Linked DNA regions of Canis lupus familiaris. The protein of the gene in region 1 interacts with the protein of each later gene in a biochemical or structural test. Links are inferred from orthologs where the notes say so. Each region holds a gene or a part of one and is shown on either strand. Other genes may lie near its edges.

Region 1 (4,021 bases):
TTAATGGTTTTCAGAGACTCTGTAGGGCTCTGTAACCTCTTTCGGAAGTTTGGGAAAAGTGATCCCCCCTCCCCCCCATCATTCCTTCTCTTTGACTTGTTTTATACATTTAGGTTCAGTTTTAACTCTGGAAAGGCAGGGATGCCTAAAACATTTGAAGTCGTCTGCCCTATCAGCCTGAGACCGCTCTAGGGTGAATGTATTAGGAAATGAAAATGTAGGTAATAATAATTTATATTTGTCAGTGAGCAGACTTTATCTAACTTCATCCATATTTCTATTCCCAATGATGTTTCATGTAGCCTAATATTAACGTGAGGTTGAAATGACTGAATACAATAGGGTCTGGAAGTGATTGGAACTAAAATTTGATTTGGAAAATGGGTAATCTACAATTTACTGCACAGGGTTCATTCCCACCATGAGCTCCTGCTGTGCGTTTAAAGGCTGCCCTATAAGCATGATATAATGACAGGTTAAACCCCTGAGTGTACCACCTGACGCAGGGCAAATCTGAGGCCCAGGACTTTATTGGGGCCCGTGTAATGCTTCTTTAAAAACACAAGCTTCTCTGTTTAATGAGGCCATTTAAGATGGTTTTCCCAGACTGGGAAGAGAATATAATCTCAGTTTGGAGGTTGAAGGAGTTTAATAGAGTTACGGGTGTTTACTACTCTCACTGCAATCTATTCGAAGGAAGAGAAGGAGTTTCAAGTATGATGTCACCAGGGATAGAAGTGGAGGAGTGAGTTAGAATTGAGGAAATCGGGTCGTTGACGCCCAGTATATAGTGAACGAAGTGGGGAGAGTGCTTTTACTCTATGAGCACAGTTCACACATGGTTAACCAGGAGAAGAGCACTTTTCTGGCCACGTAATTCTCATATACTCTATGTAGGTCTTAGGTTGAAATCATACAGAATTGGCAGCATCTGTTTTCTACAGAAAGACATGTTTCGAACTAAATGTAAGCTTGTGGAAATGGGTGAGGTTGCAGTGTTGCCTGGGGTCGAGGGCAGGGTCTGGGTTGTGCGGGGCAGCGCCCCAGCGGCCCTGGGCTGGGGGGCGGGGCTTGCGGGCGTGACCACCGCGCCGGCCCCGCCCCGCCCCGCCCTGTCCGGCCCCGCAGGCCCCGCCGGCCCCGCCCCGCGCTCGCTGCGGCTGGGCTGGGCTGGGCTGGGCTGGGCGCTGCGAGCGGAGGCCGGCGGGCGCTGCGGGCTGGAGCAGGCTCCCCCAGCACCGCCAGGCCCAGCCCTGGGCCCCGCGTGGCTCTCCGGCGGGCCGGACCCTGCGGCAGCTCCGAGCTGGCTCCGGGGTGCGCCTGACCAGCCCCCGCGCACCCTGCAGCCCCATCCTTCACCCACGCTGGCGGGCTAGTGAATGTGGGGAAGACAAACTTCCAGGGCAGGCGGTTGAGGGCCCAGCGGAGGACAGCTCCGGTGATGGCGCCCATTTTTGGAAACGCAGGCGAATTGGAGCTCGCGGGGAGGTGTGGTGGACTCCTGAGGGGACGGGAGAGGCTTCGTTCCTCTGCTGCTGCGGCAGCCGGTGCTTCGGAGGAGTGAATGGGGGATCCTAGAGCAGGGCGCTTACCTTCGCTGCTTGAAGACTTGAACTCCGACGTGCTTAGGAGCAGAACGTGTCCATCCAGCAGGGCCTCTGTTACAAATCGTGTTTGCTCCTGGGGGAAGGGCTATGAGCCGCCTGACTTCTCATGACCGGGAAGTCTCCCTTACCTTTTCCGTACTCCTGGAGGGGCGTCTTGCTCACATGTCTGCCAGCAGCTGGGACAAGGAAGAGAAAAGGTATTGACACCAAGAGACTGGGATGCTTAAAGTATGAACCGGGAAAAGTTGTGAGCTGGGGGAATCGGGATCAGGGAGTGGCTGCAATGTAATTGAGCTCTAGTTTGCATTGCTGTTTCTTTTGATCTACTGTACTTTTCTCTGTTTAAACCAAGCTTCAGGTTACGTCATCACTCCTGCAGGGTTGTCTGAAGACACTTGAGTCCGTGGTTCCTACTGCAGGGCTGCTCTGTGGTTGGGGTTCTTTTTGTTTGAAGATGGAGCTGGGTTCCACCTTTGGTGCTTTGGGAGGTTTTAGCACCTTCTGTCCTGTAATACCTCCATTCGCAAGAAATACCGGCCTCATTTCACTTGTTTTCACTCTTTAGAGATTTAAACTGTTTTTTTGTTTTTTGTTTTTTGTTTTTTTTACAATGTTTGCAAAAGTAATAAAGATAATATTGGAATGTAAGCCTGAATGATTGATGATTATGTATAGTTATTTGCTCGGTCTGGAAATGAAACGATAGTATTTTTCTTGCTTATATTTTCCTAGTTCTATTATTTTGAATACAAGCCGAGTTTACTGTTCCTTGATGTGATTAGCTTGTTTGGTTTAGTAATTTGAAAAGGCATCAGTGGTTTAGACTGTTTTGTGTGCAGGGAGCCACTTTCCAATTCTAACATTGCTCACATAAGTGAGCAGTATAAAATGGACCACGAGACAGGCATACAGCATATACGTGGGGCATTTTGGCAAGGCTGAGCCCGTTGTTTCCAAGTGGTAGAAAATGCATGGATCATCGTACTCACAAAGAATCAAACACCTGGGTTGTACAGTGTTTCAGGTGATGAGAATTGATTCCCGTTGTCCCTTAAGTCCATGTGACAAGCCACCTTATGGTGGAATTCTGTACTTTTGTAGACTCTTGAATTGTAGAATATTAACTTTAGTTGACAGTGGACTATTTTTTTTGTCACCTTCAACCCTCACTTGGTGTCTATCCTTGAGTAATCTAGAAGTCCAGTTGCTTTTATATAGTCACATGGGTAACCAGCGTTGTTTTCTTAAAGTCAGGTTCTTTGCAGCAATAATGATTACATTGAGGAAGCATTAAATTTGAGGCATTCAGTTTTAGTTTTGTTAGAAATATGGTTTGTATAGTTGTTGGGAATACAGTCTTGGGACATCAGTAGACTGATCTTTTGTTATCCCTGAGACAAATATGGCCTGTCATATCCTAACAAAGTAGATTCCTGGGAAAGGTATTTATTTGCTTTATCTTTCATTTAGCCTGACAAACTAGTTACATTGTTGTCGTTTCTTCCAGATGACATTTATCTCAAATAATATTTATTCCTGTGCTGATGAATGCTTCAGCAACACTAGTGAACCCTAGGATACAAGGAATTCTTAACCTGTTTACTGTCCCCAATGTTGCATGTGTCTCTGGTGTTTTAATCTTTATTCTTTAATTACTTCTTTTCTTCCCCTTTTCAAATTATATGTAATTTTATTGTGCAATGGAAATAGAGTAGAAAGATGTACTTTCTCTGAGTACCTAAAAACTTTTGAGATTACCCTCCATTTCTCTTCTCTTTCTCCCACCTTTATTATGGGGCCTACTGATCAGTAGGAAGTAAGATTAATTAACACGTAGCTGGTGTTCAGATTCTAGGGGAAGACTTAATAGATGAAGGTGCATGATGGGATGGCAGCAGATCCTTCCCCTGACGACCCCTCCATCCCTAAATCTACAACTGAAGCAGATAACTGTTTGCCATTAGGCGGAGTTAATCAGAGCTGATGTCCTGGGTGATCCTTTGGATTACTTGTGACTGACTCCCTGTCACTGTTTCGAGCTGCCTTAGAATGGAAAAGAAATGGACTGAGCAGGGCAATTGAACACCGAGGGAGAGGGGAAAGTTCAGTGAAAACAGCTTTGGTTGAACTTAAGCTACTTAACACAGGGTTTCTTAGTTGTTTACAGTCTGGTTTCTGTTTCAGCATTTATTCCATATTGTATAATTCATCCAAAGGGATTTTTTAATATTTTTTTAAGAAAGGGAATTCTACATGTGTTTTGGGACATTTTGATAAAAGAGATTTTATCTGGTCCACAACTCCTATAATACTCAAAATGCATAATTCGTGTAATTTGTGTTTTTTTTTTTTTTTAAATCCTTTACTCTTTTTGCTCACAGTATGTTTTTCATAAAACTTAAGTATTTCTGGCA
Region 2 (4,230 bases), on another chromosome or scaffold:
CCCCACACAGGGATCATGGGCCAGATAGGGAGAAGGCAACATGTACAAAAGTGGATGTTTTCTTAACCCTTTCCAGAACGCCATAGTACAGTCATTTCAGATCATGGCCCGAGGGTGTTTTCTGAAAAAAGAAAGTGCCTTTTCAGCACTCTTCATGTCTGATTTCAAACTCTGCCCTTCCATCAGGTGATTCAAAGTGGGCTGACAAAGCTGCCCTGTTTTTACTGGTTTTCCCACAGGGTCTAGTCCCCCAGGTGCCCTCAGTGCCCTGGACAAGGGTTTTATTCGGATCCTGGGTAAGGGGATGGGTCCAGTGCCCAGGTCTTTTCCTAATTTCCTTTAGGGTGCTGAAGGACAAGTAAAGAGAATCTTGACTGTGTACATATGAACATGTAGAACCATTCACTCCAGTTATTCCACTGACCAGCTTACATTGTGGTCTCCCTAAAATGGAGTTTTGTTGGACCTGACTGACATCCAGAGTGTGAGCAAGAAACATGCCTCCACCATCTCCTTCGGGAAAAAAAAACAAAACAAAAAAAAAAAAATGCTCATCTCTTAAGAGGAATTAAGGAAGGAAAAATGTAGTGTATACTCAAGAGTAGGGAATATGGCAGCCCATGAATGCAAGGAAGCAACCCATATCACAGATATTGAGCAAAACCAAAGCAACCAGCATCATTTCAGTGGCATCTTAGCTTACCAAGATAAGGGTAGCTCTGAGTAATGGGTATTATTTTTGCCCCATTTTACATATGAGAAACCTAAAGATTTAAGAAAATAAAAATAAAAAGGAAAATTACTTGCTTTGAATGGGTAGGAACCAAGGCAAAAGTTCCTCAAGAGCTCACATAAAACCCACCAATTCAGCCTTCTAAGTGTAAGGTCATTTGGACACTCAGCAGCTTCCAGTAAAGACCTTAGCACCCACCTGCCCTCAGCAATAACTACTACTGCTCTACCCTTCAGGATTCTATGCACAGCACCCCTATTAGCATACCTCTAATGATCTTGGAAGGACTCCATAGCTCTCAAGTCCAAATTAAAGTTCATCTCTTTTTATTTAAAAAAAAAAAATGCATCTTGCCAGTATCAAACAATGAGACTTCACAATCTGGCAAATTTTGAAATCTCTCCTCCGAATTATATATTAACAAGCTCAATTCCAGAGAATTTACACAAGAAATAAAGGAAACAATGAGTTGGTGATAAAGTAACTGTAAGTTATGTTTTAATCAATGAAAGTATATTTTCAGAACTTTAAGGCCTCCAAGAAAATATCTTTTTGTAAAATAAACAAACACTCCCCAATTTATCTTTTCTGTAAATCTTGATTCTCTTATATTAAGTTTGCTTGAAGTAGGGTGTATATAAATTCATCAAAAGGCATTTTAAAGACCTAAGCACTTTTGAAAAGGCAGAGCAATTTTTTGGTAATATTTCTTCCTTGAGGAAGTACATAAATGAGCCCCCAAAATGTTCAACTGTCAGGAGGCTGTTGAGTTGGCTTTGTTATTTCAAGAAGGGAATGTTGTAGATACTCTCTGTATGATTTCAATTATTAATAACACAAGTCTCTGTTTGATCCCACATAATGGAAAATAAAGTTCACGGTTGTTCCATCCAACCCCAGGGATAAACACTAAGGTTAAAGATAAACCCGCTGACCCCCTGCACGGGGGACCCACAAGGCTTGCCACAGAGCGCCAGGAAGAATGCCAAGAGGCAGGACAGTGGAGCGAGCAAAGAGCTGCCCAACAAAGCCAAGGTTCCACGTTGTCCCCGTGCACTCACAGAAACAGATGACACCTTCAGCAGAAACCTAAGTAACTCAGAGAGGAACAGGCCCAGGGAATTGAACCACCAGCTGAAGAGCAGCTCTTTGTGAAAAATAAAGCCACGCGTGTAAAGGACCCCATGGCCTTCCCCTCTCAGCCCCAAACCAATGTCACATTTGGCTTTTCGTTTTGTGAATCATGAACTGGCCTCTCCTCACCACAGTGATTCATGCCTCAGAGCGGAGACGCGATGAGCTGTCCCACCTTGGAACACTAGCCTGGAAAATGAGCATCACCTCTGACAGGTTGGTTTTGCCACTGGGCTCCCTCACCCACTTCACCCCTGCGCTGCCCTGGGTGGGGGACCCAGAGAGCCCTGGTGCCTCCAGCACGACCACATCCTCTCAGTCCCGGGCTGGCTGGTGGCTCCCGGCCCCTACCTGTGCTGACATGGCTCTGACAGCCACGGTCAAACCACTTACGTTTTTGCCAGAGCATGGCCTGTGACAGGATGTTGCCTTTTCTCTTTGAAGCAGACAGTTTGGCTTCTTGAATGTGAGACCCGGGTGTGCTTTCCTCCAGGGGAGCCACTGCTTGCTCAGAGGCTGTTTCCTCAGCTTTTTAAAGGCCTGAGTTCCCGCTGCGCGGGGGCACCGCGTCATCACATCCTCCCACCTCAGGCACGGGCGCACTTTTTCCTCAGGCCAGGCTGCCTGTCTCCCCACTGTGTGCGCCCTCGGAGGCCCACCACTGGCTCACAGAGCCAGCCAGCCGGATCTGAACGCCACCACCACACAGGGGGCCGTGGTCCTCCAGAGGCTGCCCCACACTGCAGGCCGGTACTGTGGTGAGTGGGAACGCGGCTGTGAGAGTGAGCTGTGCGAGCACGCGTGTCGGGTCTTGGATCCCCACACACCCAGGGTGAGTCTCAAAGACCCCTGGAAGACTCTGGATATTCTACGGTGCCCATTCAGGTTTCTATACCACAGGCATGGCAGCAGGACTCAGTCCGCCATGGGCCCTGCTCAACGGGAAATGCAATTCCCAGGGGCCACTGGTTCTCAACACAGGAGGAAACACCTGTAGTCTCTTCAAGCCTCACTAAACAACCTCTTCATTCTTTTAATACTGCTTTTCTGTTTATTCCATTTTGAAACACAATAGCCCCTCCCTGGCCCACCAGCCATTACCAAAATTGCGAGGCTTAATCACGCTTAAATATGGGGCACGCTGGTTCCAATGGTCCATATGCCCATGGAGAAAGAGGCCAACTCACCCAGGGAAGGGAAGAGAAGATGCCCATGCTCTTTAACCATATAATATGAACAAGGCCTCCTTCCTAGTACTCACCCACCTATTAGCATGAAGCTTCTCAAAGGAAACGTAGTGAGGCTCACCACCTCACAGCATATGCGGGTTAGGCCGTGGACTCCCTCCCAGTTTGGAAGCCCCCTGCCACCATGTATCTGATGCCACATGTTCAGGCCCCAGTGACCCAATCACTGGGGTCAAGACTCCCTGACTACAGCCCCTTAGGGCAGGTCCGGGGCCTTGCAGCTCTGCCTCCCACACTGCCCCAGAGCCATCTGACACAACTCTTTCCACTGGAAACTGAGGCACATCCATCTGGCCTGGCTCAGTCTAGAGAGAGGTGAGGTCCCAGCAAGGCTGTGCCACTCACTGGCTGTGTCTTCACCAAGTCAGATAATTCTGAATCTCCATTTCCTTGTTTATAAAATGAAGAAGCAGTCCTCTGACTGTCTCACAGGGTTCTTAGGAGGCTATGTGACCTCACTGGTCCTACCTCACACTGCTCTGAGTTTTGTCCTATTTCTCCAAGTTCTATGAAATTAAGAACTTTTTCTTATTTATCTTGGCCTCTTCTCACAGCCTAGCATAATGATTTCCATGAAGCACTCATAATAACAACTACTTCCTAGGCACCAAGCTCTAGGTTAAGTCTTAAAACTACATTATCTGATCAAGTTACCACAACTCGGTGAGGAAACTTCTATCCATATGTCTCAGAGAAACAGATGCTGAGGAAGTTTAATTGGCTCAGTGTCACAGGGCTATTAGGTGATAGGCTGGTTGTCAGACCCAAGCCCATCTTACTAGAGTCAGAATTTTAAATAATCACACTGACAGATACTCGTTAAGTTGAAGTCAATGAAAGCCAAATGACAGCCATGTTTAAAAGCTAGAACAGATCAATGGAAGACCTGGGATAATAGTCCCCTCTCCAAGAAGGAAGGAAGAAGACAAGCTAGAGGTGAGCTGACAAATCAAATCTTATACAACAGCAGGTAAAAACAAAAAATGTCGGTAGGTAAGCCCACCATCATGCCTATCTCTAAGCCCTGCTACCTCTGACAGCATTGAAGCTCGGGAAGCAGATTCCAGCTCAGCTCAGTGCTTCCAGCAAAGACTTGGATATCAATGACCATATATA

Evidence for each region. The genes of interacting proteins can lie anywhere in the genome.
Region 2: the proteins of SIAH1 (region 1) and POU2AF1 form a complex in vitro, tested with the Homo sapiens proteins (2 studies listed by BioGRID). The link is inferred for Canis lupus familiaris from reciprocal best matches to the Homo sapiens genes SIAH1 and POU2AF1.

Annotation. Positions count from the first base shown.
Region 1 is NC_049223.1:65,986,623-65,990,643, forward strand, and holds the start of SIAH1 (E3 ubiquitin-protein ligase SIAH1), read left to right. Parts: upstream 1-1,216; 5' UTR 1,217-1,713; coding exon 1,714-1,804; intron 1,805-4,021. UniProt on the Homo sapiens protein: E3 ubiquitin-protein ligase that mediates ubiquitination and subsequent proteasomal degradation of target proteins.
Region 2 is NC_049226.1:21,705,577-21,709,806, reverse strand, and holds the start of POU2AF1 (POU domain class 2-associating factor 1), read right to left. Parts: upstream 2,804-4,230; 5' UTR 2,277-2,803; coding exon 2,261-2,276; intron 1-2,260. UniProt on the Homo sapiens protein: Transcriptional coactivator that specifically associates with either POU2F1/OCT1 or POU2F2/OCT2. It boosts the POU2F1/OCT1 mediated promoter activity and to a lesser extent, that of POU2F2/OCT2. It recognizes the POU domains of POU2F1/OCT1 and POU2F2/OCT2.